Linked DNA regions of Kluyveromyces lactis. The protein of the gene in region 1 binds, or shares a complex with, the protein of each later gene. Links are inferred from orthologs where the notes say so. Each region holds a gene or a part of one and is shown in the gene's direction. Other genes may lie near its edges. The genes, in order: SWD2, SPP1 and SHG1.

The links.
Region 2: SWD2 (region 1) and SPP1 share a complex: the UniProt entries of both Saccharomyces cerevisiae proteins name them as parts of the set1C/COMPASS complex. The link is inferred for Kluyveromyces lactis from reciprocal best matches to the Saccharomyces cerevisiae genes SWD2 and SPP1.
Region 3: SWD2 (region 1) and SHG1 share a complex: the UniProt entries of both Saccharomyces cerevisiae proteins name them as parts of the set1C/COMPASS complex. The link is inferred for Kluyveromyces lactis from reciprocal best matches to the Saccharomyces cerevisiae genes SWD2 and SHG1.

The regions. Positions count from the first base shown.
Region 1 is NC_006041.1:1,599,028-1,611,200, forward strand, and holds SWD2 (WD-repeat containing protein SWD2), read left to right. Parts: upstream 1-9,343; coding exon 9,344-10,324; downstream 10,325-12,173. Other genes in the region: KLLA0_E17931g (tropomyosin), read right to left, coding at 1-215, 455-472; KLLA0_E17953g (uncharacterized protein), read right to left, coding at 988-4,443; RAM2 (bifunctional protein farnesyltransferase/protein geranylgeranyltransferase), read left to right, coding at 5,165-6,106; tyrosine protein phosphatase YVH1, read left to right, coding at 6,408-7,475; MND2 (Mnd2p), read right to left, coding at 7,568-8,383; MCO12 (Mco12p), read right to left, coding at 8,702-8,953, 9,070-9,075; ATP-dependent 5'-3' DNA helicase HCS1, read right to left, coding at 10,306-12,173. UniProt on the Saccharomyces cerevisiae protein: The COMPASS (Set1C) complex specifically mono-, di- and trimethylates histone H3 to form H3K4me1/2/3, which subsequently plays a role in telomere length maintenance and transcription elongation regulation. Involved in mediating RNA polymerase II termination.
Region 2 is NC_006040.1:613,715-626,061, forward strand, and holds SPP1 (Spp1p), read left to right. Parts: upstream 1-5,915; coding exon 5,916-6,944; downstream 6,945-12,347. Other genes in the region: HER1 (Her1p), read left to right, coding at 736-4,572; MCP1 (Mcp1p), read right to left, coding at 4,721-5,572; KLLA0_D07282g (uncharacterized protein), read left to right, coding at 7,401-8,753; mitogen-activated protein kinase kinase MKK1, read left to right, coding at 9,638-11,035; mitochondrial nucleotide exchange factor MGE1, read left to right, coding at 11,393-12,124. UniProt on the Saccharomyces cerevisiae protein: Component of the Set1C/COMPASS complex that specifically mono-, di- and trimethylates histone H3 to form H3K4me1/2/3, which subsequently plays a role in telomere length maintenance and transcription elongation regulation.
Region 3 is NC_006042.1:190,034-198,585, forward strand, and holds SHG1 (Shg1p), read left to right. Parts: upstream 1-7,665; coding exon 7,666-8,052; downstream 8,053-8,552. Other genes in the region: TAE1 (N-terminal protein methyltransferase), read left to right, coding at 1-63; GTPase-activating protein RGD1, read left to right, coding at 1,121-3,157; cullin RTT101, read right to left, coding at 3,206-5,362; KLLA0_F02167g (uncharacterized protein), read right to left, coding at 5,529-7,412; POP4 (RNase P/RNase MRP complex subunit), read right to left, coding at 8,099-8,552. UniProt on the Saccharomyces cerevisiae protein: The COMPASS (Set1C) complex specifically mono-, di- and trimethylates histone H3 to form H3K4me1/2/3, which subsequently plays a role in telomere length maintenance and transcription elongation regulation.

The DNA.
Region 1 (12,173 bases):
TTCAAATTGGTAGAATCTTCAGCTAGTTGCTTGTGTTCAGAGACTTGACCTTCCAAAGTCTCAACTTCTTCTTCCAAAGTTTGGTTCTTGGTAGTCAAAGACTTGATCAAGTTTTCGTTATCCGTCTTTTCTTGTTCCAAAACTTTCACCTGTTCCTTCAACTCTTCGTACTTGTCTTGCCACGACTCGGCTTCTAATTTCAAGTTGCTTAGCTTCTATTCGAACAAAAAACGGGGGCGATAGCACCCCCGCTTCACTTTCCAAATCTGTCACGTTCATTATTACTGAAATCAAATGCGGATCGCCATCAATCGACATACCGTTTCATATTTCAGCATTAAAGATAATGATCGTCAGACGAGGAATTGCATCTTGTTAGTAATTGCTTAATTCACATTGATCACCGGACCGAGAGGTAGGGGATCAAGTAGTTATGAAAAATCGCCACACATACTTCTCTGATCTTTTCCATTGTAGATGATTCGTATTAGTTCTTGTTTCAGGGAGCGTTTTTTGTGAAATTAAAGGTCAAATAACTCAATTGTTCACTACAGTAATTGACGAGTTTCAAACAATCAATGGGCACTAGTCTCTGATCTGTAATCAACGAACACACCCCATGTAAATCCTTCCTGATGTAATGAGTAAAAATACACGAAGCCTTTTAAGTTTGTTATTGTTTTTATATTTTCGATTTTCAGGCTTTTTCATACGTTCTGGATTTCCAAAGGCGGGAAACCATGAAAATCTGTTGAATTGATAGGATCGTCAGTGAGAATATGTGGTTTCAAAGGGTAACAAAGTCAGAAATGGGCATTTACACTGGATGCGATGATTTATTATGCGTATGTATTATATATTTGAATACATACTAGATATCTGGTATCGTGTCATTTAACAAAAAGCCATTATTTCAAGATTCGACTATATACGGGCTTTGCACATAGATAAAAGGTCGGTTCAAGAAAAAGAAAATTAAAAGTTCGACTAGACCAGGTAGTTTCCTTCTCCCAGCAGTCTATGATTTTGTAGGTTATGGATGGATTCTCTAAACGCAGCCTTCATTCTGTCGTTACCTAGTAAAGTTTTTGCCATCCAAGTTCTTAAGTTTTCGGATACCGTTTCCGAGATATGATGAATCTTGTTACCGTCTCTCCCAAATTGGAATGCTAGGAACGCAGATGATAGGATAACCATGACGGGAATCCAGAAGAAAATCAACATCTTATCGTTTCTGAAGTTTTGGCGTTGTTGGAAGAATCTGTTCAATCTTACTTGTAGGGCTTCTTCTTCATCCTCGGACGTTTCTGAAGTTTGAGAATCGTGTGAATCCGGAGCAGTATCGACACTGGCCTCTCTGACGATAGAGAGGCTCAATTCGGTGACCTTGTTCTTGCTTGTGTTCAATCCAGATACTGGGAATAAATCTTCATATTTAGGTAGTCCTTCTGGAGTACGAGCCGACCTGTCGCCTTCTTGCTCTTCACCGTTATCCTGGCTTAATTCTTCCGATGGCTTGACTGTCGTACCAGTGCCGTCTGCTCTGTAGGGATGCACATATGTCGAGAGTTGCAACTGGGATTCCCGCTGAGCAATGGTTAGTGAAGTATCGTCCTGTACTTCATCGTCCAATTCACTCATTTCGTCATAACCACTGAATTCGTACTCTGAATCGTCCGATAATGTATCCTGCACCATCTTGGAAACATGAACTTGGAAGCCGTAATCAACAGAGTCCAAAGATTCTGCATCGAATACGCTGGAATGGAAACTGGAGGTGCTTGATTTTCTTCCAAACATTTTCAACTCGTCTTCTAATTCGTTTTTTTCAATGCCACCATCATGCGTGGCCAATAAGCGCAGAGCATCTTCGATGTAGGAGTTGTTTTTCTCTGCAGCCGAAACATGCTGCGACTTGTATAGATCGAGAGCATCGACACCGTTGTCTGCCCTTGCTGTAACGTTGGCCTTACATTCTACTAAGAGTTGGATAGCCTTGACATCACCGTTGATGCAAGCAAAGTGCAATGGTGTGAAACCGAATGAATCAGTAACGTCAACTCTAGCACCTTTTTTGACCAAGGCAGAAACCAGATGGAAGTAACCCTTCAAACATGCCAAATGTAACATAGTTTGTCCATCTGAGTTACACATGGATAGGTTCGAGCCAGGGTTTAGCAATTTCACGACTTTCAATATTAACATTTCGTCTGAGTAGTATACCTGGTTGCTGGAGTTAGTGGCATATGAGTCAGCGTTATAGTTCGTCGAGGGCGAGATGTTTGAACTTGGTGTCGAACCATTCGAGGAGCCACCATCACTTCCAACAATTCTCTTGGCAATGTTTCTTGCATCTTCCAATTTACCATTCATTTTGAGTCCCACGATTTGCAAAGCTAGTTCAATCAATTGACGATCGGTATCGTCCACGTATGTAAAAATAGCCCTACTGTTTGACATGTTACCCAACAGTTGTTCATTACCATGATCTTCTCTTTCGAAAACAGAAACTAGTACTTGACCCGGTTTCGAAGTTGGTGGTAAATATGTAACGATGGTACTTTCACTCCAACACTGAGTAGATAAAGCTCTATTGTCGCCGAATTTAACAATCATATTAGGTTTGAAATTGGAACCCAATAGTGTCACTTCGATGCCACCTTTGATAGGACCTTGAGCAGGAATAACACGTTGAATAAATGGTTTTGGGCCGGATTCGGGAACAGTATTCGTTGTAGACGAACCCATCTGCTGCACTAGCACGTTAGGCCTTGGAAAAGCTGCCTGTTGTTGTTGTACTGGTGCTGCGATACCTGCAGCAGCAGGTTTCACAGACCCCATTTGAGATAACAAGTTTGGTTGTTTATTTTGTAACAAAGAATGAGGTGGACCAGATATCGAAGAAGAAACATCCAAAGCTGTAGTTACTGAGGTTGAAGAATTAGACAACGAGCGTTCTGACTTATTGGTACCGTCTATAGAGCTTCTTGGACGTTTATAACCATTCGTTCTTGCCGAGGCAGCTGCAGAAGAGTGGAAAAAGCCAGGAGTAGTCGGGTTTACTGGACCATGGTCGGTATGGACATTTTCTGAAGAATCCTCCGTAATGGAAGTTGGAGAGGGCATACCTTTTGGTATAGAAAGCCGTACTGGCGCTGAAGAGTCCTCAGCTTTCATACTCACGTAGGATTCGGAGTTACTATAATCGCTGGCTTGTCCTGTCATAGAATCTTCATCCTTGACATAACCATCGCTGGTACGGTTGTCACTAGATTTACCCTTGCTTGTCGTCTTTTTATCCATAATAACAATACTGTTTGTCACTGTTCTTGCCAAGATATTATCATCTGCATCTCGTAGAACCATCAACACCTTGAAACCTTCTGGCTCCTTATGATGTCTGCAGTAACATACGATACGGGTCATCAAAGAGAAATTTTTAGAGTTTTCATTGCATTCATGTTCTTTCATTAAGAGGACTTGTTTGCTATTAAAAACAATAGCTCTCTTGTTATCGTTGTTACACCAAAGCAGATTATCACTTACACCAGATTTCCGTCTCGCAGCTCTACGTTGTTCTCTTTTCACACACCTGGCACAAACGTATGTGGTCTTATTTGTTGACGAGCAAAGCAAAAAAGTCTCCAAAAACAACATCTGCCTCCTCACCTCGATGGGGTACTCTGTTATATCGTGAGTCAAATAAAGCTTCTGTTTCGTTATACTATCTGTCGGTAAATGGATCATATACTGTGGAGGTGGAGGGGAAATCGAGACGTTGACTTTAATTTGAGTTTCCACTCTAGATACAGAGGGGATTCCATCTACATTCAATTTGTATGGCAATGAGATATCATCATCATCCTTGGGGAGAAAATCAGTTGGGTTCAAATATACCGTCTTGAAAGGACGTGTTCTACCAAATTCCATCCCATGGGTAAGTAACCGTTCACTTTGTTGGTAATATGTAAGATTCTGCATTGGCACTCCGGTGTTATTACTGCTATGTTTCTCATCTCCCAGTTTCCATTGTTCGACATTTTCCCTAGTCAAATCGTCGTGGACATCTGTAACACCGCCAGAAGCATTCATCTGATCGTCAACATCCTCATGCTCATTCACATCCATAATTTCATCAGTATCTAACTTCAATAAATCAACATTCGTACGTAGCTGGTTTTCCATCTTCACAGGGGACACAAAATCCAATTTGAGTAAACCAGGAGAAGAATCGTCCTCTATCGATTCCATCAACATATCCTTATTAATATACTGGTCAAATAGGTCTGCAGCATCAATAGCATCAGAACTACTACTTACGTTGCGACTGCCCTCTCGAGGGCCGCTATCGCCGGCGCTATCCCTAGCTTCCTCATCGTTTCCTAAAAACAAAAAATCGTTCAAAAGATCGCCTTTAGACGTGTCTTTTTTCTCTGTAAGCATCCTTGACTTCAGCAAAGCACGACTATTCCTATCTAATAGTAATTGCCCTGGTTATATTATCGCTACACTGAATCAATACACTGTTGATATGGCTAAACAAATACATTCTCAATAACAAGCCGTGTTATCATTTGTTAAATCCTTGTAAAACTGTTTTCAAAATTCAAAAGTTCCAATATTGTCCGTCTAAGCTGATGCAAAACCGACAAAAATCCAACAAAACCTCTTCAAACTGGGCTGGAAATGTGTTTTTGGGGGATAATTGTGCGGTTCATTCTTTACAGAAGGACTACCCTTGATGGTAAGCCATCATTTTTCTGGCGGAAAATCCGCCAGAAAAATGTGTTTACCATCAACAATTCCCATCACGTGATTGTTTGTGTATTGAGTGTAAAGAACATACGTTTGGACATGACACGGACAATTTCCTCACCAGAGAAGAACTTTTCGTGTCTTAATGCATCAAAATTGAATAGATCTCACTTCATTGTAGACTGGTTTCCGTTCACCTTGACTCTTTTTCTCTGTTTGAGGTTACTTAGTATGGAAAAAATCCATTGCAATTCTCATCACTGGTGAAACTTGATAGCTTCCCTCCCCCCTTTAAGTACTATATATAACAGTTGTTCCCCGGGTCGTGACCTGTTCTAGTACAATTCCCTTATCACACTCTCACCAAACTTTAGTAAAACCAAGAACATCACAAATAATACACTATACCATGGACAAGTGCGATTATTCTGATGTTAAGAGAATACCAATCGAATCTGGATTGGAAAATGAACTATGTGCCATCCTATACACAGACCAATACAAGGAACTCGTATCATTATTCGTTGCATTATTACAACAAAATGAATTATCTGAAAGAGCAATGGCAGTAACTGCCGCGGTGATTGAGACTGTACCAGCGTTATACACCGCATGGAACTACAGATTCGAGATTTGCATGTCCTTGTTCCGGAAAGAAGATGTATCCGCATGGGAGAAAGAATTGGATTGGCTCGATGAGTTCACCTTAAATAACCCGAAAAACTACCAGATTTGGTCGTACAGACAAGCGCTACTCTCAGAACATCCATCCCCCAAATTAGTGCGAGACCTTCCTATACTAGACGTGATGATCGATGACGATACAAAAAATTACCATGTATGGTCGTACCGCAAATGGTCCGTCCAATTCTTCAAAGATTGGTCCCATGAACTCGACTTTGTGAACAAGTACATCGATAGAGACGTGTATAACAACAGCGCCTGGACCCATAGAGCTTTTTATTTGAAGAACGTCGATCATGTTCAAGAGGAAGGAGTAGCAGAGGTGGAAATTCAATACTGTATGGATAAGATATTGTTGGCTCCACAAAACGTAAGCCCCTGGAACCATCTACGTTTTATTTATAAGTCATTCAAGAATAACGAATACGATTCCAAGTTGATTAATTTTGCTTCGTCCTTCATAGATAACGCCTTGGAGACATATACCGACCAAGAAGAAAGACCAATCTCCCATGTTAAGTCTTCTTTCGCATTGGAGCTCCTAGCTGATGTATATTCTCAAACAGACTCGGAAAAGTCCAAGATCGCATATCAGGCATTAGCAGACACTTGGGATCCTATAAGGAAAAACTACTGGAATTTAAAAATCAGACAATTAACTATATAGGATTGTATTATTAACATACAAGGATGCCTTGTCGCGCAAAGGGCTCCCACATCCAAGCTCACTTGGCTATCCTACCCGTCGGTACTACAGAAGTATCATATCATCTCTACCTTCACTGACACAAATCACGTTTCTTTCCCTCAACTAGACTGGAAAAAAATTGTTCCAAGGCCAAAAAGATTAAAGAAGAAGAAGCGATGAGATGAGACGAGGTAAAGTTTAATGAGTGGACGGGAATCGCCTCAGAGAGAGATATTAGTACCGGCAAGTATTCATAAATAATCAGCTACAATCATCTGCAATGGCGAATACTGAATCTGATATTACAAGAGTACTAGGTGGGATCTATGTTGGTGGTATTCAACCAATTGCGAACCATGTTCCACTGAAAGTGAATTATCAGATCACTCACATCCTATCAGTGATCAAATTTGAGATCATTCCAGAATACTTGGTCAGGAAGAGTTATACTTTGAAGAATATTCCTATTGACGATAATTTGAGTACAGATGTGTTGCAGTATTTCAATGAAACGAATAGATACATCGATTCATGCCTGTTTCCCGATGAGATAGAGCTTGACCGAGTGAAGGTTGATTTCAAAAAGAAGCCCCAAAAGGGTGCCATATATATACACTGCCAAGCAGGTGTATCCAGATCTGTTACGTTTGCAGTAGCGTATTTAATGTACAGATACGGGTTCAATTTGAAGACAGCTTTACATGCAGTGAAGAGGAAACGGAGCGTAGCTGAACCAAATGAGAACTTTATGGAGCAACTGAAGCTGTATGAAGCCATGGGTTCGAATATAGTGGATGTCGAGAATAAAGACTATAAACAATGGAAATTACAGAATTCCATTAAAACTGATCCCTTGGGAGCCAATATCATGGCTCAAAATGAAATGTATAAGTCTGAAGAAGTTGAAGCTGAAAAGGTAGCTAAGTTATCGAAAGAGGAAGTAGAAGATGTTTCTGCGATCCGTTGCAAAAAATGTAGGTTTAGACTTGCATTTTCCACTTCTTTCATTAAGCATGATCCTCCAAGTAAGGAATCAATGGAAGGTCATTTCATTAGGAGGGCCGCAGGATCTAGAAGAATTATTGATATTCAACAATCACAAGACCGTTGTTCGCACTATTTCGTGGAGCCTTTGGAATGGATGAAGAAAGAATTACAAAAGCAAGAGCTTGAAGGTAAATTTTTCTGTCCGAACTGTGATAGCAAGATCGGAGGTTACAATTGGAAAGGTTCTAGATGCAGTTGTGGTAAATGGATGATTCCGGCAATCCATATCCAAACAGCTAAAGTCGAACAAATAGCATTAACTAGGAAAGACCTACCTAATTTAGTATCGTTTGAAGAATAATGGTCTCTCAGTACTCGCATAAATATCATTCATAAAGGTTAGCATTTTTTATTTTATTTGTTTAATACATGTCATTCTTCTTTAATAGGCATTTAGGTGAGGCTAGATACTCGTGAACCTTGAGCACCGGAGTCTAGAGTATCAGATATGGTCAACGATGGCTGTTCATGGACCGAATCCTCATTTTCATTTACAAATGGCAGTGCATCCACATTTGAATGCCTGGATCTTGACCGGTTGGTATAACTTGTATCAATTAATTGTGAATCCTCAACAAACGTACCTCTCGTTCTGTCGAGCATAGATCCTTGTTCGTGAACTTCCGCATACTCGTTATCGTAATCATAACTTTGATCGTACTCTTCTTCAGATTGTTCACCAACTTGTGCTGTCAGCAGTACCGATTGTTCTGTATGTTGATGATTATGATTTGACACAATAAATGAAGAGGAAGTTTGGTAGGCATTAAGTATTGGTTCTTGCCCTGAATTGTGTTCATTTTGTTGCTTGTTCTGTTTACTTCCCTTCTCCTTTTCGATCTCTTTTAGGGTTTTATCAATGCCAATAGGTCGCAAACTTGAGTAGCCAAGAGATCTTATCAGCAATAGTGTCGATTTATCTAGAATGTTAATGGTATTGGAATCAGACACATCTCCGTCATTATTGGCAATTAAAGGTTTCTCACTATGGCAAGTATACGCCGCAAGAGGAATCAATCTCTTCCCAGGCTTGATCCGTCTCTTGGTATCTTTATCAATGTTCCAACTCACCGGTTTCCCTTTTCTGCTTGTCTTGCTTTGCAGAAGCTCTTTTCGTAGATTGTTTATCAAAGGAATGTTATTGAAATCGGATGGTGCAGAAGGTTGTCTGAAGGCATCAAGGCCATACATAAACTCTCCAAGCCCCATATCTTACTTGTAAAGCCTACTGTCTCCAAAAATATTTTGTGAACAGCCTCTTAATGTCTGTTATTGCCATTGACACAGTGGTGTTTAACAGGACACAAGTAAATCATGATTTAAAGGTTTTATTTTAAAAGAAATAGAAAAAGCATCAACAAAAATAAGGAGAGCTGTACTACTCACCAATTACCAGTAGTTAAACGCCGGCGTCTTGATGGCATTCACTCCAGTTATCTTATATTTGATATGAATTGATAGAAGACACTAAAAAGAACTGAATATTATATATTAGTATGTATGTTTGAATAAACGTTATTGGTGTAACTACAGGTTACGCTTTCTTTCCATATGATCCAAGAACTTGTCAAAAGGAGTCTGTTTCCTAAAATAAGCACTTCTTTCAGCCATGTTAGCCAACTTATCGAATAAGTATTCTCCCCAGTCAAGATACCGTTTAATATAATTCTTCAAGTCAGACATTTCATAAGCGACAACATAATTGTTACTTCTACGCAATCCAGCCAATACCATAGACAACAACGCTAAGTCAATACTGTAATGAACTATATCTTTAACCTGATTGGAATTTGATAAATGCAGTTAAGATTACCTTTTAGTTAGTAAATCAAAGTCCGTTGATGAAAACGGTGGTGTATCTAACCACCTTCTTCAAAAAAATGAACGGTACGTACACCCATGATTCTTATTACAAATCTCAAATATGTCAGTTCTTTATAAAGCCAGAGTAAGACCAGAAAGGCTCTATTTCTCTACCTGCAAGTGACTAACACTATTGATTTCTTTGACAGATGTCATTACAATTTCGAGGAACATTTAAATTTAAATAAAACTGTTAACACCATCAAGAAATATTACCAATTTGGAGACAAAAAGAGAAGCTCAACGGGACACCAGCGGTTTAGCAACAGTTCTGTGATTATCTAAAAGTTAGCTGAGAAAGGAAATATGACTGTTAGCATTTCCAAGAGCAATCTTCTACGATTTGAGCCTGTGAAGTCCTTCAGAGTTTCTGATAAAGAATTGGGACCTATAACTTCAGTGACATTTGATGACCATGGCCAGTACTTGTTGACTGCAACTGCTAGTGATAATATGCATCTATATGATGCAGTAAGTTGCAGGTTTTTGAATACCATCGCTTCTAAAAAATACGGATGTCATTCCGCAAAGTTTACACATGCGCAATCAGAATGTATCTATTCATCCACTATGAAATCGTTTGACATAAGGCATTTGAATCTTGAAACAAACACATACCTTAGATATTTCCAGGGCCATGGTGCTCTAGTGAGCGATATACAAATGTCCCCGTTGGATGATACTTTTTTGTCTGCATCGTATGACGAATCGGTAAGACTTTGGGATTTGAGAAGCTCCAAGGCACAGGCCCTTATACCAAGTTTAGTCCCCACATGCATTGCTTACGATCCAAGCGGGCTTGTGTTCGCCATTGGTAACCCTGAGAACCATGAAGTCGGTTTATATAACGTAAAACATTTGAAGGCGGGCCCATTTTTAGTTATAAATGTGGATCCAAGCTTTGATCAGTGGAATAAATTGGAGTTTTCAAACGATGGTAAATATTTGTTGCTTGCGTCGTCCGCTGGAAAACATTTGATCATGGATTCCTTCGATGGTACACAGTTATTTGAATTATCAGGAACTAAACCTTTCCCATTGAGAGAGTTCATGGATTCTGGATCCGCAACGTTCACTCCAGATGGACGCATTACATTGGGAACTGATTACACTGGGAAGATCGCGATATGGAACCACGCAGACTTCATCAGTGGTAGGACGCTCAAACCTCAAGGATTTATTAACGCCGCACCAAATACATGTCCCAGAACTATTGCATTCAATCCTAAATATAGCATGTTTGTCACTGCAGATGAAACTGTAGATTTCTACGTATATAACGAATGAATTATACTGGGATCTGGATATATGACTTCGAAGCCAGACTCTACCCAGAGCACCCATCTATTTAGGAATGGCACTCGACATCTCGATAACATTTCCATGTTACCGATGACACAAAGCTGCCTTTTAGGTCTGGTCATCGCGACATTTAATCTTCTTTCATCTTTCAAGAACCCAACCTCGAAATTCTCGTTACTTCTTACTAAAGATAGGATGATGCACTCCTTTTCTCTACCTTGAAATCCGTCTACGGTAGATATCTCAATTGCTTGATGCTTTTCATGGATGAGTTTTTTCAACAGCGATACTTGTGAATTATACGGGGAGATCACACCAATACTTTCTTCCGTAACACCAGCCTTTATCAACTGCTCAACGTGGTATAATGCCAAATATGCTTCATTTTCGTTGTATTTTGAAGAGACTAGGTGGAACTTATCGTCTGCATCGTTGTCATTTTCATCAGACCTTTCTGGAAAGTCGTCTCCCTCAGTATCTAACCAAATACATGGGAAAGTAGTGTTGTCGTTCGATTCAACACCTGGTAAATCTGCTAGCAGTTGTTTCGCAACGGAGTCATCTGCTTTCAATTTCCCGTCATATAATTCGTTAGAAGAAAACTGCATAATTTCTTCGTTCATTCTGTACTGTACATTTAGCAAGTACTTAAATTCGTTGCCGTAATGTTGCAATAATCTGTCAAACACGGTAGTACTCAACAAGCGCTTTACTTTATCATTATCTTCAGTTTTGATCGTTGGAGGTAACTGCTTGTCGTCTCCAGCTATTATGAGTCTTTGCATATCTGATTTTAAATGTGAGATTAAAGGGATCCAACACTGAGGTTCTAAACTTTGTGAAACTTCATCAATGATCAAAGTATTGAACAATTTGGATTGTAGATCATACGCACTCAACAATTCTCGAGAACTTGAACCGTGTAAAGTGCAAACGACAATTTTGCTCTTTAAAATTATATTAATTAGCCCACTTTTCTCTCTCTGCCTCAATTCTTTTCTCAATGCCTTGACCTCCTGCCACCCTTTCTTGCGATCTCTTGAAGATTTGAGCTTTTTAACGCTAGCAATGGTATCATCAATCTCTTTCATAATGTCTTTTAAAATCATGCCCGAGTCTCCCTTTTTAGACAATACGTCAAGGGAATGTGACAAAACTTGTGGTAGTAGCCGAGATGGATGACCAATTCTTAATAATTCATCACCTGGAACAACTTTACTAAGTCGTTCCAAGATTGTATCAACGGAAATATTTGATGGTCCACAAACCAAAATCCTTTCCCCTCTATCGTATAACTGTTTTATCAACTCTACAAGGGTATATGTCTTTCCCGTCCCTGGCGGGCCATGGATAATAGATATTTCATTTGACAACGAATGTTGGATGGCATCACGTTGAGATTCATTGAGTTGTTCGTTGTAGAACTTCACGTTATGTTCAGGGTCTTTTTTAATGAACTTTCTTTCGTGCAACATGTATTGGATCAAGATATTGTCGGGTATTGAATTGAACTCTGCCAACTTCCTCATAGTAGATTGCATTCTCTTATAAGTAATGGTATTAGTAGTCTTCAAGAGACACAACCTGTTGAACGAGTATAATTGTACGGCATCTTGGTCTTTAGATTCATCCACAGCCAATACGATTTGGTTGTTGGACACTTTGGATACCACGGCATCCAAGTTTACCGTTTCATCCTTCTTACTCTTTGCCTTTGCCGAAGGTTGAACCAATACTATATCACCGACTTTAAAGGAACCAGTGTTCAATTCCTTGGTGATGGCTGGATCTGCAGAAAGTTCCAAGTATAGTTTCGAACCGATCCCAGTTCTAA
Region 2 (12,347 bases), on another chromosome or scaffold:
CGGGGGATAATTACAGAAGGATAGTGGGGGGAGGGACTCTCCCCGCAAGCTGATATGGTGAGGTGTGTGGGTGTTGTATGGGAGACCGTCGAATGCAGTGCTGCGGACGAAGATCTCTTGTTTCCGTTTACTAGTGGTCTTCGGTGATTCATTATTGACATATTTTTTTCGCAGTCGTCGCCAGTTCGAACCCTCATTCGATCCTAACTGCCATCAATTGTTTCTTTTACATATACTACTTATATGTTTGTCTTTTCTGTTTTTATTCGTAATCCTATTTCCCTCCCATGCTTTATTTCGCTCAATTTTAATACATTTTCCAGACATAATACGATGAGCCTTCCATCTATCTTCCTTGTTTCACTCTTCTAAAATACGTCAGTTGATGCATGGATCTCGATCTGCTGCGGCCAATTGTACGGGTGCGTTACTTTTCTTACATTAATAATAATTTCTCTCTCTATGGCGGTTCTGCCCTGCCCACTTTGTAACTATTTTGAGAATCCACTTAGTTTTTCTGAATCTTATATTGTATCTTTACTATTTGGTGATAATTATAATTGTAATATTGAATGTTAAGTATATATTGTATTTATTCTAAGAGCTTAGAATTAAAGCTCACTTTTTTTTTCTTGGAAATGGAACGGTCAACTAGCCCAATATAATACCAGAACTAATCCCGTTACTGCCCAATTTTTTGTTTCTCAACAGACTATATCAGGAGTGTCAGTCTACATGCCGAATTCGTTGGATCTTGACGTCGAAGTGGATTGGTTATATAAGGGGAAGAAGAAGGTCAGAGCGAATAGGAGATTGGACTCCTCTTCAGCTCCACCGGCTACTCCCTCTGCTCCTGCTCCTGCTTCCACTTCTGTTCCTACTCCTGCTCCTGGGTCTGCTGGTGTTGCAGAAGCAACACCAGGGGCTGGCACTGACGGTGCTGGACCAGAGAACTCTGCAAGTTCAGAACCTGCTCAAACTCCAACTCCCGCGGCAAAGACTCGTAATCGGTCAAGCTCACACTCGCAAGCGAGTCTGAGCCAGACTGCAGCTAACTCTCCAAATACGTCTGGTCGCTCTTTGAAACCATCATCTGCTGTCCTTCGGAGGAGCAGCTCGCTGGGCGAAAAACCAAAGAAATCGTTGTTCGGTTCTTTGTTCAATAGGAAACCGCTGCAACCGCTGGAGTCCCATACAAACGTTTCATCCACATCATCTTCGGTTCCAGCTCCGGTGACTTCTTCCTCTTCTGCGTCGGGCCATTCTGCGTCGACAGCATCGTCATCGTCCTCGCCAACGCAGGCTTCGACCACAGCTGCTCCGGCTTCTTCTTCTTCTTCTTCTTCTTCCTCCAGAGGAATACCTATTCCTATCAACATCTCGCAATTTGCGTCTCATAGACAACAAATATCCCAGTTCCTTAAGGAACCAAACTCTCCGGAAGTTAAGGATATGGCGCCAATTCAACACGATCGTGTCGTGTTGAACAAAAATCCAAATAAATCGAAGCATCCACTGCCTATCAAAGAATTGACCGAGATTAATTTGAAAAGAGTTACTTTTGCAGTCGATGAATTTGGTATGGACCCTCCTCAACAAATTCCTTCGAGAAAGCCAAAACTGGGTAACGTTCTTGTTCCAAACGACATGATCAGTGATATCCCTTCTATATCTCAAGGTATTACAACGACAGCCCAACCTTCCTCACATGGGAATGATCAGCATGGTGCTCTACCAGCATCTGCTTACACAAAAGATTCTAAAGAATACCAACTTGCCTTGGAAAATCATAAAAAATGTCTTAAGGAATCGGAGAAACATCAGCAAGAAGCACATTATGCGGCTCAAAGAATTGCCTCCGAAGTTGCCGGTTTCAAATTAAAACCTTCTACTTCGACAGACCTAAAGCCTTCTGCCAATGGTACTGTGCCAAAATCTGGAGCAGCCACCGACGATGAAGCAAATGCTGAAGCGGGGGTTGTGGCAGATGAAAAGATTAAGTCTTTGGAGATTGATAAACCTATACATATGCATGAACATCATTTCAAAGAATCTTCGGGTTCTAGTAATGGAACTGGCTCCGAGCATGGAGCCAATCCATCTTCGACTAGCGGTACACAGGATGAGAATGGCAATGAGTTGATGTTAGATGTTGTCTACACCAGATGCTGCCATTTGCGTGAAATTCTTCCGATTCCTTCTACCTTGAGACAATTAAAGGAGAAAAAGGCACCTTTGCAAACATTAAAGTTTTTGAACCCAAGGCCCACTCTTATTGATATATTGTCCTTCTCTGATTTTATTGCTATTGTCCCTATCCACAACGTTGTCTTTGATAACGTCGGCCTAAGTCCTGAAATGTTTAAGATAGTCATATCTTCATTAGTTAAAAGCATCACCCTTGAAAGACTATCGATGAGAAATGTTGTTTTCGATGAGCGTGGATGGAAACTATTGTGTAAATTCTTGATGAGAAATAAATCATTGACGAAATTAGACATCTCGCAGACCAAAATCAGACATGATCTAGATCTTAAATTACACAGGTCTCAAATGGATTGGTCTTTATTCATTGATGTCTTGCACAAGAGACAAGGTAAACCACTAGAAGAGCTACTCCTCAATGGTGTTTCTTTTGCCAATAACTTGCACACTTTCGAAAATATGATAAACGCGTTTTCCTCAACTAAGAACGAATTTTCAAGGAAACGTAAGTTGGGTCTCGCTCAATCTCAGATAGCTTCCTCAGAACAGTTAGAAATTCTATTTAGATGGATGTCTGAAAATGATATCATCGGTGTTGATTTGGCATTTAATGACTTCGAAAATTTGACAAAACCAATTATCAAAGAGCTTTCGCAACGCAGCTTCGACTCATTACAATACTTCACATTGAATTCAACAAACATTCAATCGGTGCAAGAGGCTGCATTGATTATAAGGGAACTATCAAAATTACCGAAACTTTATTTCTTAGATCTATCGGGATTGCCTTCATTATTCCCTGCAATCTTTCCTTATTTGAACAAATATCTACCGCGTTTCCCTTCTCTAAAAAGATTACATTTTGATTCTAATGAATGGACCTATAAGGACATTTCTCTTGTAACACAGATTTTACCCAAGTGTAAAGAGCTTTTACATGTTTCAATGATGAACCAACCACAAGAATCATGGGCAATGAGTGCAGCTGTATTTCTATATGATTGTATCAAGAATAGCGATAAGTTGATTAACTTGGACTTCAACTACGAGAACATTCCAGAGGAAATCAATTCAAGAATAGCAATAGCATTAGTTAGAAACGCGCAGAAGTCAATTGACTCTAATTGGCAATTGGACGAACTTTCATCGCAGGACGATTTACTTTTCGATGGTGAACTAATCAGTGAAACAGCCGGTAATATTTTAGATAAGCTCAATGACTCTGCTAAGCTTCAAGAAGATTCGACGAAAAGGTATTTACTCAAGCGTTATTGGGAAAAAATCCACACGATTCATGCCAATGTTCAAAAAACCATAGACAGCATGTTCGAACAAAGAATTTCAAAAGAATTGTCATTACAGAGCAAAGAAAATTTATTAAGACTTATTTTCATGGAAAATACCTTAGGAAATATCCTAGAATACTTGTCCACTAATCCGTATATCCAGGAATTAAATTATGCCAAGAATAAAGATGATGATAATTATTCTTCTAGTGATGAGAGACCAGTACTGAAGCATGTTGACTCCGAAAGAATAATGTATGCGAAACCACTTGTCGATCCTATTGACCAGGACATTGATCAAGAGCTAGAACACGAGCAAGATTCGAACAGTGCTAAACCCCATCTGATGGCTACTGATTCTGGTAGGACCATTGATGTGACTACAGGTAGGCCGATCTTAACGAAGACAAGTTCTCAACGTTCTATTTTCGGTAAAAAGCAAGAAGAGGAAGAAGGTGAATTGCACAAATGGGGGTTCTTCGTTCAACAACAGCGATCCATATACCCAGAAAACACGCCTATGTCTAAGTATCAACAACAGCAACAGCATAAGCATGCACAAAGGAAGGAACCACAATTGTCACAAATCGTTGAAAAACCACGAGAACAAGTGCAGACTTCACAGAAAACCGGGCAGCCTGCAGCTACACCGACTGCATCTACCCCTCCAACTTCTTCAAATTCCATTCCTGCTCTGTCTAAATCCGCGGCATCTGCAAAGCTCATTGGGAAGATTCCATCTGGTACGGAACTTCGTGAGGCTATCATCAAAGCGAAAGGTATCAATTCCATTGAAGACTTGATTGATAATGTTAATTGTCAACAAGTCAAGTTGGATAATATTTATGGTATCCAAGTTGAACCACCTGCTGATGCAAAGCCATTAGTTTTATCACCTGGAGGAAGACCGGACGGGAACGTGAGTCATGATGAGAGACACTCCGCGCAGGAAAATGGATTCCCATCTGAAAGTGAAGATAGTTATGTCGAAGATGAAACCACCACCGAACAACTCAACGTTGACGAGACATATGACAAGTTGTTGAACAATTTGAGTCGTGTTCGTTCTAACAGAGGATAAATAAATATTTTTGCATAAACAAAAGTACATATGGACGTGCCACACACACAATAAATAAAACTAGGTACAGGAAGACCAAAACAAGCGCCATGGTGAATAAAATTAACGATGAACGGTGTATCACTGGCAGGAAGTAAAGCATACATTTTCATGATAATGACAATGTTCTTAGGATTGGTCTATAATATTTGTCCATTCCGAATACGATCTCTGATCCCAATCTGCTTATTCCAATATATCCGGTACAAATAAGCAGCAATATGAAGTTCATTATTCTTTTACGAGTCTTTAGACTACGGACATGCATATATTGAACGGTTCCAGCGATAATATGATACGATCCTAAACCAATAAGAGCAACCAAGGGGCCATATCCGAGACCTATCCTCACCAAAGCACCTCTGTCTTTATCTAGTAGCCATTTGACAAAATCAAAGTCTATATCAACTTTCGCCGTATTTGGCAGCCATTTCATGAGGGCACCATGAAAGAATAATACTGGAGTTAACAACCATCCTGTAAGCTCTTGTGGATTATATTGAAGGTTTCTCTTGATCCCAATAAAGTACCCACTTAAACCACCTACAAGACCAATTCTAGATTGTGCAAGTGACTGAGTATCCAGCAAGGATTCGGCATTATGTGTTTTCGAAGAAGTAGGCAGCTTCCTCATTATTCTCAAGGCAAATCCGGATAATATATGTATTGATATCCCAGTCCAAATCAACTTAGATCCAAGTCCAGATGTGAGTTCTCTAACCATCATTAAAGCATCGTTTGGAAAAGAGGAGGGCTCAAGAGCAGGAATTATTAGGGCATTGATACCGTGTAACGGAAAGTACGTTACTAGAGGGAATAAAGACCATTTTTGCGTCCACCTTAGCCATTTCTTAATATTCAACACTAAATTGACGCTGGCATCCTCGGGGGTTTTTGCTAAATCGGGGTCGATGTGTTTGGTCGGAATGGGCTTCAACGGTGTCAATTTCGCAGCAGTCATGAAGTTTATCAATTATAAGTCAGCGAATCACGCACTTGTTCATATACTCAAAGGGCAAGTGATATTTCTGAGAATCTTGGTATATCTGTTTCTTAATTTGATGTTGGCTTATTCATTACATTCCATCTTTACACATTGCATCAGAAAAGGAATATTAAAATGTAAAAACCATTACACGAATCGATGAAGGTAAAATAAACAGAGAAATAACACAAATATGGCCTGTGAAGGGTACATGAATGGTTGCATTTGAATATTACAAAGAATATACTTCATTTTTTCTGCCTAGATATTTATCATCATAAGATAACTCCAGTATAGGATTGAATTTACAGTATTCACGATGTCATTACCTAGTTGGTGCCCCAGGTATGACAGCAGGAAACACGACCCAAAAACTGGGGAAGAAGTTTATTGTATATGTAAGAAACCAGACACTGGGGAGTTGATGGTAGGATGTGATGGATGTGATGATTGGTTTCATTTTTCCTGTTTAAAGATCCCCGAGAAATATAGAGATCTCGTTTTTTCATTCTACTGTTCGTATTGTAGTGCTGGAATTACAGGACCGGCATTGATAAATGGCGGCAAACTACCGAAAACTCTTTGGAAGAGGAAATGCAGGCTCCCTGAATGCTATACAGAGTGTGATGCCAATTCAAGAAGCAAATATTGTTCAAAGAAACATGCTGTTCAATACGTTCAAAGCATTGTTGATAAGTTAAATCTACCTGGCGTAGATAAGATTGCATTGTTGAGACAGCTTCTAAACGAGACAACATCATTGGAGGAATTTAAAACGCTAGGACGAGACAAGCTTCCAGAAGTCACGTCACCTTTATCCAAAGATCAATATTCCAAGTTGCTAGAAAATGATCAGCATTTAAACAAATTAATTAACGAACACGATGAGTTGGTTTCGGTCAAGCTTTCAAAACTAAATGAAGAAGATGCAGTAATAGAGAAATACGTCAACTGGATCGGTGAAGTTAACGAGAGATTATCCCCACATTTCAATCAGCCTACAGGTCGAAAGAAGTCGAAAAGTGCAAGTAAAGTTACAATATGCGGCTACCATAATGAGTTCACGATCCCTCGGTCAGTTGAGGAGTTTTTAGATAAGCTACTTCAGTTGAAAGAAGACGAAAACAGTAATATCACATCAGTTGACGGTGTTTGTGTAAAGACAAAATGTGCTAAGCATCAGGATTGGATTACATTGTCCCAAAACGATCTCTCGGAACAGAAGGACTCTCTAGAAAACGTCAAAAGAAGACTCGATTTACTAATTAGCGTCAGAACGAACCAATTGAGAATCTCATTCTTCGAACAAGAGATGTCCAATCGCGTCCTACCCGGTGTTAAGACCTAGCTCATATCTAATGTGTCACTTTTCTGTCATTACAATGAAGGCGAAACGCTTATATTTAACTTGTAGCATCAACTAGCAAGAAAAGCATGTATAAATAATTTAACCTAATACAAACATCAGGTTTTTCATATGCTTCTAGTCCAATAATTGAACGTATATAAGCTTTATCCTATCGTAAACCTAATTCATCTAATCGTCACATAGTTAAAGTCACTTACCATGTTATTCATTCTATGAGAAAACAATATAAAAATGAAAAACCAATGAGCTCAATATCACCATTAAGGTCTGGTTGTTTTACGAAATATAAAGGGGCAGGACAAAAGATAGCAGACATACCTTATAATTGTATCTCCTATTAGGAACCTCTATTCTCTCGCTGTAAGTTTCAAAGATATTGGTTTTGTGGTAAGCGTTTGGAGGAAGCTTTTAAACACATAAACTTACAAACAAAATATGGCAACAGATATCAGAACAAACAAGGTTAAGAACGAAGAGTTCAAGATCTGGAAGAAAACTATCCCATCCTTGTATGAGCATATCTCTACATTGCAACCTAAAATCTTTAGCCCTTCTGAAAGTGCCCAGTCACCTGAAAGGAGAGTTTTGTTCACCGAACTTATCTCGGAAGAGGCAGATAAGGGTTTATTGAACACGTCTATTTACTATTCGCAACGGAGCGAAATATACGAGATTGGTGTACAGCTGCCTATTGGAGCTTATACAAGTCATGATGATAAAGAGCTACCACAGCCTAGGTACAGCGAATTTTTCTCAGAGCCTGCCAATGCAAAATGGGTTTTCGAGGGACAGTCCATTGCGTCATTCAAAGCTAACCATTCCACATCGGCTCTGATTGTAATGAGTAAAAAGGGTACACTCGCATGGTACAATGGCTCTAGTAAGAAACCATTGAAAAGTTTAGAAAGATCTTCAGAAAAAGATGTTACGGCTGACTTCGATATTTCAACTGATGGAAAATATGTGGTCAGATTCGAATCTCCGGTTCCAGAATCTGCACAGAGCGGAACGAAAATCACCGTCATCAACAATACTGACAATATAGGTGACGTGCTACATACCATTACATTGCCAAATACCAAACAGGCTCGGTGCGTTAAATTCCACACTGCTACATTGTTCAGCACAGTCACTGAGGATAATCTGTTAAGATTTTGGGATATTAGAGCTCGAGATGAAATGTTATTTAGCTTGGCCTTGCACTCAATTTCCAGTTCTAGTGAGGGTTCGACTGCAGGATCAGAAGTTGAAGATGATGGTACGATAAACGTTGTTGAAGCATCGAAACAGTTTGATACTCTTTTCATTACTGGTTCTGATGCCGGTGTTATTAAACTATGGGATTTACGTTCCATTGCCGCTAGAAATTCCACAGAAGTGAAGGATGCCACAGAAATAGTCACATTGTACCAATTAGATAACGATCCTGTGGTCGATATCCAATTCAGCCCCTTGGAACCCGAATGTTTCCTCACTGTAGGTGCTTCGGGAAATGTGTACCATTGGGATATCAGCTATTTAATCAACGAAAGCGAGCAACAGGGCGAAGACAGTGCAGATTCTGATGAAATATATCAAGATGACATACAAGAACATTCTTTGAAATTCTTACATACTGGCGGCGGTAGAAGATCCGCCTACAAACCTGATAATACAGTTTTGATCAAGGGTTCTGTAACGCAGCATCCTTTGATTCGAGATATAATTGGTACTGTTGACGGGGATGGCTACCTAACTATATACAAAGGTTTTTATGGCAGAGACGGAGAGGTTGCAGAATCTGAGTAAGCTAAAGACTATATGTATGAATATGTTTATGTCCAAGTGTGTATTATTGAAATTTGTTAACACGGTCAAAATAAATGTTTATTACTCTTTTGTGAATATTTAAACATTCACGGTCCAAATTCGTCTTTAAAGGGCAAAACAATAAATCTTCCCTTTAACATTCGATGGCCTATCATAGCAAGAATAACACCGGCATCGATAAGCAATGAAGGATACGATAGAATAAAAGTGTACCTACCTACAACATGCATACTGCGACGATTATTGGCTTAATCAACTTTGTCTCAGTGATCTCTTACATAATATCAACTGGTTTCTGCTAAAATACGAGCATGGAAGTTATGGGTAGAAGCTTGAAATGTTTCAACTTCAAAATCTGATTCCAAATAACCAAAGGAAACGGTAGATGTTGAACTTAAAATGAGTTGATAAACCTTATATAATCTTAAAATGTTTGTACTGGTCGATCACGTCGGCTGTCTCTGAATTTTTTTTTTTTTCAGGACAAGGCTTTAATTCGAACTTTAATAAAACAAATTCACTTAAACGGCTCTTTGCATTATAAAGATGATCTGGCACATAAGAGAATCCTGAGGCCCAGAGGAGTAATATTCCGGACGTATCCCAGTGGAATACGATACGAGAGGCATTTTAAAACGATAAACTGAGTATAAAAGCGATCCGCTGAGGATTAAGACACGAGAACCGAGGTTTCCCCTTTTTACTTCGATAGAAGAAAATATCAACGGACACTTCAAAGAAAAACAGCTCAAACGTTTGAATAGAAAAAAACGCTGTTTACTTGTCGCATAAGGTGATATTAACTGATATTTATATTATTTGTATGGACCCACGGAAAAGACAAGTGTGAAGTGAAAGCAAAGATGGCTTCGATGTTCCGACCACCAGAGTCTAGGAGAACCAATTCCAAGCCTCCAAAATTGTCGTTACCACCGCAATTGGTTTCCAATAGTAAGCCAATAACAGATATTAGGGATGAAAAGCTTCGACAACCTCCTTCCAAATCTGTACCGTCTAGTGCTACTCCGACTAGTAGTGCATCGGCGAGTTCTGCACGGACTTTGAAAAATCGACCAGTACCTCCACCGACAGCATCATCAGTGACACCGCTATCCAGTACTAACTCTGGAAGTGCGATGGGATCACTTTCGAACAAATTGCACGGGCTGAAGATCAATACGGACCATCTGCCAACGTCTGGATCACAGCAGTCAACCCAAAGTGCAGATTCGATGACTTCCAATCTAATATCCATGTACGATAGCGAACCAACAACAAGCAGCAGCACAAGCCTGGTAAACCATGGGAAAGAAAGTGAAATTATAGAGCACGATAGAGATGATAGCACAGATGAACTTGAGTCAGATATATGGCAAACTTACAAGATCCATGAACAAATTGATACGTTGGGAATATTGGGCGAAGGAACTGGAGGATCGGTCACGAAATGTAAGTTAAGGAACGGTTCAAAAATATTTGCATTGAAGACCATTGCCACGATAGAGAATGATGGCTCAGAGAAACAAATATTCAGAGAATTGCAATTCAACAAGAGTTGTAAGTCTGATTTCATAGTGAGGTATTACGGGATGTTTGCATGCGAAGAAACCTCGACAATTTTTATTGCGATGGAATATATGGGCGGAAGATCGCTAGATTCGGTGTACAAGCACCTTCTCTCTAAGGGGGGACGAATTGGTGAGAAGGTTCTGGGGAAGATAGCTGAGAGCGTACTTAGAGGACTATTTTATCTACACGAAAGAAAGATCATTCATAGAGATATTAAGCCACAGAACATATTGTTCAACGAAATAGGACAAATAAAGCTCTGCGATTTTGGAGTCAGTGGAGAGGCAGTGAACTCTCTTGCCACCACGTTTACAGGAACATCATACTACATGGCTCCAGAAAGGATACAGGGCCAGCCATACAGTGTTACCAGTGATGTATGGTCTTTGGGTCTCACACTATTGGAAGTTGCACAGGGACACTCACCATTTGATACGGATAAACTAGCAGCAAACATGCCCCCTATAGAACTTTTGATGCTTATCTTGACTTTCACACCTGAATTGAAAGATGAACCAGAACAAGGCATAGTATGGTCCAAATCCTTCAAATCGTTCCTTGATTACAGTCTGAAAAAAGATTCAAAGGATAGACCATCTCCAAGACAAATGCTACAACACCCCTGGATGGTGGGACAAACCAAGAAACACGTTAACATGAAGAAGTTTATTCAAACTTGTTGGGCGGATTGATTGCTAGCCCCTACTGGCCCACTAGATAGAACATGCAGGAACATGTATAGATAAATCATTTCTCAAATGGCTGCATGTCACGTGTTCCACAACATAAATCGGATCAAGTTTCAATTTTTTCATAGAGTTTGGTTTGAATTGAAAAAATGATCATGAAAGAGAGAAAGAACCGTATATAAGAAGACATTTAAGAAGAAAGAATTAGTAAAACAACCCAATACATCTTACATACCAACTGTCACTACCTCTTATTGACACTCAGTTGGATTTGAACTCACTTTGTTTTGCTAAATAACCACTGTTAATAGTGAGACTCAAGTCGACCAGAGAATATTTACTAACAGAATACAATAAAATATGAGACCATCAACCAGATTCTTGAGAAGCGTTACCAGAACTGTTCCAATCGGTTTCAGATCTACTACTGTGCCATTTGTATCTAGCACTTTGAGATCTAGTGCTGCAACCTCCAACCAGTTTTCTGCTAGGTTTTCCGGTGTTAGATTCTATGCTGATGAAGCCAAGAAGGAAGAACCTAAGGATGAGAACGATGCAGCTGCAGCTGAAGAAGACGCAAATTTGACTGAAGAGCAAAAAAAGATTAAAGATTTGGAAACCAAGTTGGATGCCAAGACTAAGGAAGCCTCTGAATTTAAGGACCGTTTGTTGAGATCAGTTGCTGATTTCAGAAATTTGCAAGAAGTTACCAAGAAGGATATCCAAAAGGCCAAGGATTTCGCTTTGCAAAAATTCGCCAAGGACTTGTTGGAATCCGTCGACAACTTTGGCCATGCTTTGAACGCTTTCAAACCAGAAACTCTGGAACAATCTCAAGAGCTTTCTGATCTATATACCGGTGTCAAGATGACCAGGGACGTTTTCGAAAAGACTTTGAAGAAGCACGGTATTGAACAACTAAATCCAATTGGCGAATCTTTTGATCCAAATAAGCACGAAGCTACTTTCGAATTGCCTCAACCAGACAAGGAACCAGGTACCGTTTTCCACGTTCAACAAATTGGTTACACTTTGAACGACAGAGTTATCAGACCAGCTAAGGTCGGTATTGTTAAGGACAATGAAAATTAGAAAATCTCTCAATAAAGAACCCCGAACCCAAAATCGATCTACTTCAAATGACCTTACCATGACTTATAATTTACGATAATGCTTGTTTTATGAACCTTCTAACTTTTTTTCCCCTCCTCACTCCATTTTTCTTTCATTCTGCATGATAACATCGATCAGCTTTTGAACGGAAAACATCTCTTTTTGTTCGCAGCAGGTTTGACTTTTATGTTCCCTCATAACG
Region 3 (8,552 bases), on another chromosome or scaffold:
CAAAGAGGTTTACCTGACGGCCTCTATCCTGTACAGATGTATGCATTGAAAACCGTAGTTTGAGACAACTATTTCAATAAATAGGACATCAGTAAGAGCATGTAGTATTCTACATAACAAGTTGCTATACTAATTAAAAAAGAAGACGTTCAAGAGACAGAGATTTCAGATAGGAGCGAAAGACTAAATTCGATGAATTTTTATCTTCATATAGGAAGTTATCCTTATCAGTTGAACTATGCACTGAAGGAAATGTATCATCATTAAGATATACTCTGTAACCCAAGACAAATGGAGAGAAAGTTAGACAAGATTTAACATGTCTTGTCCTGACACTACGTTGCACCATGCTCCTGCATAAATCAAACAATGGTTATCCATTTTTGAATACAACTTGGCACAGGACAAGCCTCAAAGAGTTGAATAATTCTTCCAGCTGACAGTCGCTGTATCGACCTGGCTGACAACCTTATTAGAAAGAGAGAGAGAACGATTATCCTCTTCCAAAAAGTAGCGATGAGATACGTATCTTTTCATTTTCGAAACATTTTTTTTTTAAGCTTTTCAGAAACAGCAGAAGAACAGTAAATTCAAACTGGTTAAATAGTAATAAGCTGGATTACAGTGGTGTTTTAGGGCATAATTTAAGAACGTCAGTGAATGCAGGCTTTTTATGGCATGAGATGCGACAGGTCGAAGCACTCCCGTAATCCTCGACCTTAATTGCAACTGAAGGAGTGGTCTGTATTATTTGTCACTGGTAATCACGTGCTACCATCACTAACCACGAAAGCTGGCTTTGTAAATGGAGAATGTCTGTTTGGAACATGAAGACCGATATCAAAACTATAAACACATACGTGAATCAAAGTGATCCATTATTGTTTATGAAGCAAGAAAGGGATCTCTTTGATTGAGATACATATCATTCGGTCAATTATATAGCAGGTTTCAGTATCAGCACTCAATTGCCATATTAGGTTTCTGATTTTATTTTTTTTCGGTTCATCGGAAAACGCAGGAGCGCTAAATATAAACCGTCGTTTGTTCTTTTTATTGATTAATCTAATTTATTTTAATTCAGAGGTGATAGGAACTGCATTGCTTCATTTATTCAAATATGAGTGTTGACACTTCTGAGTCAGGGACAGATCCAAACCTTACTGGATGTGTAGCGGAGCCTTCTCAATCAAATGATTTGCTTCAAAGAGAAGAAGTTAAGAAAGTTTTGTCTTCAGATATCGCCATCAATGCCCTACTATCCAGGTTGAAAGGTTCCCTTTTGACATGTGAGGAGTTCACCAAATTCATGAGAAAAAAGTACTTGTATGAGGAAGAGCATGCACAGGAAATGTCCAAAACCACCAAGCATTTCTTCCAAGAAACTGGGAATTCTGGGTTATCTCGATCCATCCATCAACTCTTGGAGTACGATAACAAACTATCGCAAGTTAAGATATCGTACGTTAGGGCATTGCAAAAAATCTATGATGAAGTAACAGCGTTACTGTTAACTGTAACGAAGACCAGAAAATCCTTAAAGGAGAAAAGTAGGAGACTTGAAAAGGATGTTTCTGATGCGATCCACACTGCCGAAAAAGCTAAATCAAGGTACATCTCTTTGTGTCAAGATTGGGAGAAATTGAGATTAACTGATCCCACTAAAACAAAATTAACGTTAAGGGGATCGAAAACAACGAAGGAACAAGAAGAAGATCTTCAGCGTAAGATAGATAGCGCCGATCTGGAGTATAAACAGAGAGTAGATCATTCCAATTCTTTGAGAAATACTTTTTTGAGTAAAGAACGTCCACAGATCGTGTCTGAGTTGAAAGATTTGATCTTAGAAATCGATACAGCAATGTCAATTCAGTTGCAAAAATACACAATTTGGACAGAAAACATGATTCTAAACAGCGGGGTTTCTGTAAACCCAGTAGATGGTAACTCAAAATCTATGAGAAGTTCTGCAACCTCGATGAATAACGAATTGGATCTTTACAACTTCCTAAACAAATACAACACATCCAAATCGGGATCCATGATAAATAAGAATTTGATTCCTGTTGAATACAAAAAGCATCCATCAATGGCAAGGTCATACACATCTAGCGCAATGGGAACAAGCAGTAACTTTGGGAAAATATCTGGCCCCTCGAATTTTGTCGTAAATAACTCAAAAAACTCATTGCCAAAAAGAGTCATGTCCACTCAACATGAGTCCCCATTCAATAGTTCTTCAGCAGCTGCCGCTTTGTCATCCACAGTATCACCTTCAGCTACCACACACCCGCCAAATTCTGCTTCCAGTGGACCGTCTCAGAGCTCTGTGAATGGAAATAGCATAACATCAACATCTTCAAGACCATTGAAATCAATGGTCGATGTTGTGCCACCCTCAGAAACAAACAAGAAAGACTTCCCAACTCTTGACCCACGCCCAAATATTCGCCAAACCAGTGTTGCACCATCCGTTGCCACCACCGAAACTATGACAAGGCCACCATCAACAGTACAAACTATTGGGTCATTACCGCCTGGTACTGCAAAAGATTTCAAGACATTTGCAGTTCCCCTAGAGAATCTTCTGGATTACGATCAAGATCTTGTACCGGCTATTGTCCGCCAATGTATCTACGTTATTGACAAATACGGTCTAAACTTGGAGGGCATTTATCGTAAATCTGCAAACGTTCTTGATGTGTCACGACTCAAAAGTGAAATTGATAAGGACCCATCCAACGTCTTTATGATCTTACCACCGAAGAACTACACTGACTCTGATATTTATCTGGTAGGTTCTTTGTTAAAAACATTTTTTGCTAATCTCCCTGATACTCTTTTACCAAGAGAAATGACCGAAGAAATTAAAACGTGTCTATCGATTGAAGATTCAACTACCAGAAAAAACTATATGCACGGTATCATCTATAAACTACCTGATGGTCAATATTGGACGATAAGAGCATTGATATTCCATTTGAAACGTATTTTGGAACACGAAACTAAAAACAGAATGGGTTTAAAGGCATTGTGCATTATTTGGGGACCAACCATAATTTCACCTAATAATGAAGATTTGAATGATGTGAACTACCAAATAAGTGCGATGGAGCTCTTGTTCGATGTGGCGGATCAAGCATTTGAACCTGAGTAAATGTACTAATAAAAAGAAATCATTTAAATATCAAAACTAAGGTAAATTCTATAATAAGTATTGTACGTTACCATTTTCCGATGTATAGTATTCGCCGCATCTCCCAAGCGCGTCTTTGAATTCTCCGCGGCTGATACCCGGGAAAGCAGAAGCGACATATTCAAAAAGTTTTGTCTTTGTACACTTTCTTCTTTGTTTCAACGTCCTGATAATGCATGCACAGACAATTTCAGTGAACCATCTATTATCTGCCTTATCGTTTTCCATAATTTTTGGCGATATTTTAGGAAGATGGTACAGTGTCAATTTACCATCATTAAGAGCTTCCTTTTTGGGTTTGTATTTAGTATTCAGATAAAAACAGTCCTCAGAATCCTTTTTAAACATGTTCATTTGTAAAAACATTTCCATATTGCTGTCAATCTGAGGTATATTGTGCTTTGTTTCTGTCAAAGTGTTTTTTATTTGTTCAAGTGAAAGACGAGCACTGTTATTAAATAAGTGAAATATTGATGCTTGAAGTAGGTTAACGTGAAGTATCACTATTTCAGAAGAAATTCCATGTCTAAAGGGGCTTTTCAATTCCAGAAGATTTAGCTGACACTGGAGTGACATTGTTTTGTGATCATTCCTATCTAAAACCTTGTAGTACTCCCATTGTTTATTCACCATACCATTTAATGGTTCCGGTAGTATGAGTCCTGAAATTTCGGATGAATCCAACGAGTCCGAGATGTTAGATTGTTTAAGAATGACAGGAGTTATCTTTGGAGCTCTCTTCATTCTCAATGATTCAATTAGTTCGTCGTTTAGCTGCTGGAGTTCAAGAATGTGAACTGACTTCAACAGCCCACAGCAAAGTAGCTGTTGGTCGAATCTCTCGTTTGTTTTAATCAGCTGCTCGGAACCCCCCAATGACTTTAGTACCGACCGTAGAAAATATTTTCTCTTATATATGTTCCATAGTAACTCGTCTTGTTTTGAGTCTGGCGGAAAGATGTCGTTCATAAAAATGCAGCATGATCTAACCAGATCTTTAATCCCAGAAAATTGCCCTTCCTCAGAAACCTTACACAACCATCTGTCAACTTTTTCAATATTCTTTATGTCTGCATTAAAAGTCAATGTAATCATATTCTTCATTATTGCCTTTCGATTAGAATCAAAAGATTCGCTTGACATGGAATAGGTGGAGATGAAGGACGACAAATAGTCTTCGTCAAGCATTTTACATATAACTCGTACTACGAAGTTATCATATTCCTCACCTCGCCACGGGTAATAGGCATATATCATATCCCCTAGCTCTTCTATTATTGTTATTATCGTCATTTGATCATCCATACATCTATCGAAGAAATCCTCGAAGTATTTAAACTTCAATAAAAGAATATCCACAGTATTGATGCTTAAATTTTGACATAATATTTGATATTCGGAACAGTAGTATATGATTTGTTTTTGAAGACTGTCGACTCTTTTGAAGTGGTCAGAACTATAAGTAAAGGAGTTAATTATGCGATTAGTGGTTTCTTCAAAAAGCCCCAACACTGACGATTTATCAATTGGAATATCGTACCTGATAATGTTCTTGACCAAACTGAACTGGGATGTTGTACGTGATTCTAACGCTTCGACTATAAACGATTCGATAGTTTGTCGTAGTTGCGAGTGCAATCGATTTGCTATTCTTGAGAAAAAGACTAACGTTGCGTAGCCTTCTAATGATCGGCAGGAGATATTTTCCAAACTATTTGGAAGGTTCCGGAGAAAAGCCTTGGTGTAATATTGCAAAGAGTTCACCTTGCCCTGTATCTTTTTGTAAGCATCTTCTAACTCACATAAGTTTGTTAACCATTCTATATTCGTGAAATCTTCCTCGTCCACCTGTTCATTTATCAATTTGCTAAGAAGTGACCAGAGATCTTCAACAAACGTGTCCTTAAAGACAGCAGCATATTGACTTGAATTACTGGAAGCCTTAGCAAGCCTCGGTACTTTACATCTAATCAATTTTTGCAAAGTGAAATATATCTTTTCATCGTGTTTAAGGTCATCTCCTGGGATTTGATATTGTCTAAGCAGCAGTTCGAGCTCAGATAACAGAGAATCGTACAGAACTTTTGAGCTTTTGATTCGTTCGGGAACCAATAACGGCATGTCACATTGACTGTACGTTGAGGGTGGAACCTTTATGCGATACATACTGTCCCATAACAATTGAAATACTAAGTGTTATATGATCCTACGTACTTGCCCAATACTATATCAAAAAGACATACGAGTCACGTGCCAGGTAAAGGAAGTACATTGTGTTGGCTACGTAACTAGCAGCCAATGACGTAACAGTAGAAGTTTTGGTATACTGAGCTCATGGTATTGTGAAAATATTATTCACCAGAAGTTTACTGTTAGGTTTGAATCCAAGATTAAGTGCAAATATGCCATCTTCTTTCCTGATCAAGAGTCCGTGCTTGACTAAGGATGATAAATAATGGCTGAACATTGCTTGGTTGCGAACGGAAAGAGCACTAATCATTTCATCTAGCGACCAGCTTAGTTTTTTATTGAACAATGTATCAAGAATGACAGCATGACATAAATTGAAGTTTATGGATATGTTGGTTTTTTGAAAAATTGTAGGTTTCATGATGACTCTATGTAGATGCGGTTGATCATAAAAGTGTACATTAATACCATCACTTGTAATCCGTGGTTCGTGTTTGTTAACCCATTTTCCTGGCAGATTAAAAGGAAGTTTTGCCGAATTTTCTGAGTAAATATTAGGAAATATTTTTGCTGGTAAGATGATATCGTTCTTCCTATTGTTTCTCGTTATCTTTAATGACAAATGACTGAACATCCTGTTAATATTATTTAGTGTCCCAGCATCCTGCTGCATTACTATGTAAAAGCGAGCGAGGGGAGCGTCAAGTTCTAGTTTCTTGCCAACTAAAATAGATTTGACTAGATCTATGGTTAGATTATCTCGAATGATTTCTTTTATAACGTATTGCTCAAAATACGAAGCAGAAAATGGTTGAAATTGTCGAGTGTTCTTCAAGAATACTCCTATTTTCGTTAGCCATCTTCTTTCTTTTTCAGTCATGTTGTATGCTTTTTTACCCAACACATCTCCAATGTTGGTAGTGCCTGGAAAATAAGTAAGAATGTGTTTCACCATCAGTCTCATGAATTTAATAGTATTTTTAGAGTCCAATTCAAATGCGTATTGGCGGCTCATTATAGGCTTGCGCTGTTGAAGAATGAAATCCATCATTCGGATCAAGAGGCGGTGGTAATTAGGCCCAACCTCAGTCAAATCTTGTACCCACTTCGTAGTAATTTCGAGGTTAGCAGATAGTATATCCTTTTCGGTCAAAACACTTTGTAAACCACATATATTATAGCTGATACGCTGAGAATTGAGCGGTTGTGATGAACCGAGTTTCTGTGAGATCGAAGCTTTGTAGAAATCAACGTCAGCAAATACAGCAAAAAAACCGGCACGAGTCACTGCAAAAACTTCTTCGGGATATATTTGGAGAGTCACGTTGTGCAAATAATTCATGAAGGTATAAGCTTCCGCTTCAAAGTCCTTAATATCTGACTGTACTTGCAATTGGGTTTTGAAGGTTAATACCAAGCCCTCGAGAATAGATAAGATAAATCGTGGATTAACATCGTTGTTCTTAGGTAGGGATATCGGATCCAAAAAATGATGATAATGTGAATCAAATCCTAAGTCTGAAAATAACTTGCAAACCTCATAAAACTGGTCATTCGATATGGATCTTGTCTCAACCTCAATTTCAAACCCTCTTCTAATTAGATCGTTCAACTCAGAATATAATTTATATCCAACAATGGTGACCAGCCATTGTACGAGAAGTGAGTAATGTCGTATATTTAACCCGAGTTTGTGTAGTGCTCGCTCTAAAGGTAAGAAAAGAGGCTGTATTTTCCTTAGTTGAAGTTTTATTGTTAGGATGTGTTTTGCCAAGCTCCCAATAGTCAATGGACTTTCAATAGTGTTAGTCATATGCTGCATTTCATTGTCAAAGCTTTGTAAGAAACCTCTTGTGACATCGAGTAAACGGTTCTTATTGTCGTCCAATCCATTAGCATCCGAGTACCTTAGTTGGTCAATCCATCGTGTAAGTCGTTTATTCACATCTTTTAACTCATCCTCTGATTTATTCACTAAATTACCGTAGGTGAACCATGTTAGCTCTTTTCCGTTTCGAATATTCATGGGAAGTTAATAGTTCATATCTTTCAGGTGTCATACACAGGGCTCAACGTATAACAAGAAGCTCTATTGCTCCTGCCACTTCTTTGTTGAAGTGCATCTTGAATGGAGGTTTGACTATTGAACTATCTTGTCTTGGCCAAAAAACTGGAAATTTTGGCGATTTTGCAGACCTTTTCTTTGCAATTCAGTGTAAGAAATTGCTACCTTGGTCTGGTATTGATGGTTTCACAATCACCTAAGGGTAGTACACGGCATGAATAGTAATGGTAACGATTTGAAAGAAGAGTCTTTAGATCCTGCCAAATATTTGGCGGAAACTTTTAAGAAGGAGGGTCATTTAGACAGTTTAAAGAATGAAATACTATCTCAAAATGTAGAGGGTGATATTAGCTTGGACGAATTCATAAAGAGCCGAGTAAGGGATTTAGTTCGTGATAGGGTAAATGAAGATGAGTCTTTAATTTTCAAGAACAGAGGTACCACGACTGCTCTTCTTGAGGGCCAATTATTTAAAGACGGATTCAAGAGTTTAAACACGTCAAATATCGATGTGGAGAAGCTTCTGAGTGATTCACTTGACGATGCGACGACGAGACAAAAGATAAGAACTATCCTTGAAGCCAAAACTAATGATAGTTGATTGAACAGATAAAGTAGCAAGGCTGCTACATATATATTTTACTTCGTTAACTAATGTAATATAATAGGTCATCGCAACGGCGACTCTTAAATTTTCTACCGGCTCTATCAACACTTCTATATTTAAATCTATCACCAAGAATTGTATAGGCTAAAGATTCTTCTTCATTGATTGGAATCTCGAAATCGAAAGTTGTTCCTTTCTTCGGTATGCTTTTCAATTCATCGACTAATCCGCCTTTCGTTATGATTATGAATGTCTTTTGAGCATCCCATATTACAATACCATTTTTCCCAGTTAATGACTTGTTTTTGGATTTAGATACCTTCAACTTACACCCGTTATAATCAGCCATAGAGAGCTTGATCAAAGTTTGCTGAGAGTTCAAAGGTAATGGATTTCCAACTTTGTGATTATCTGGGATGTTCAACAATTCTTTCATGTATGGACACCATATATCTTCGAACATGGAGGAGAAAGTTTCAAAATTCGGCAGTTGC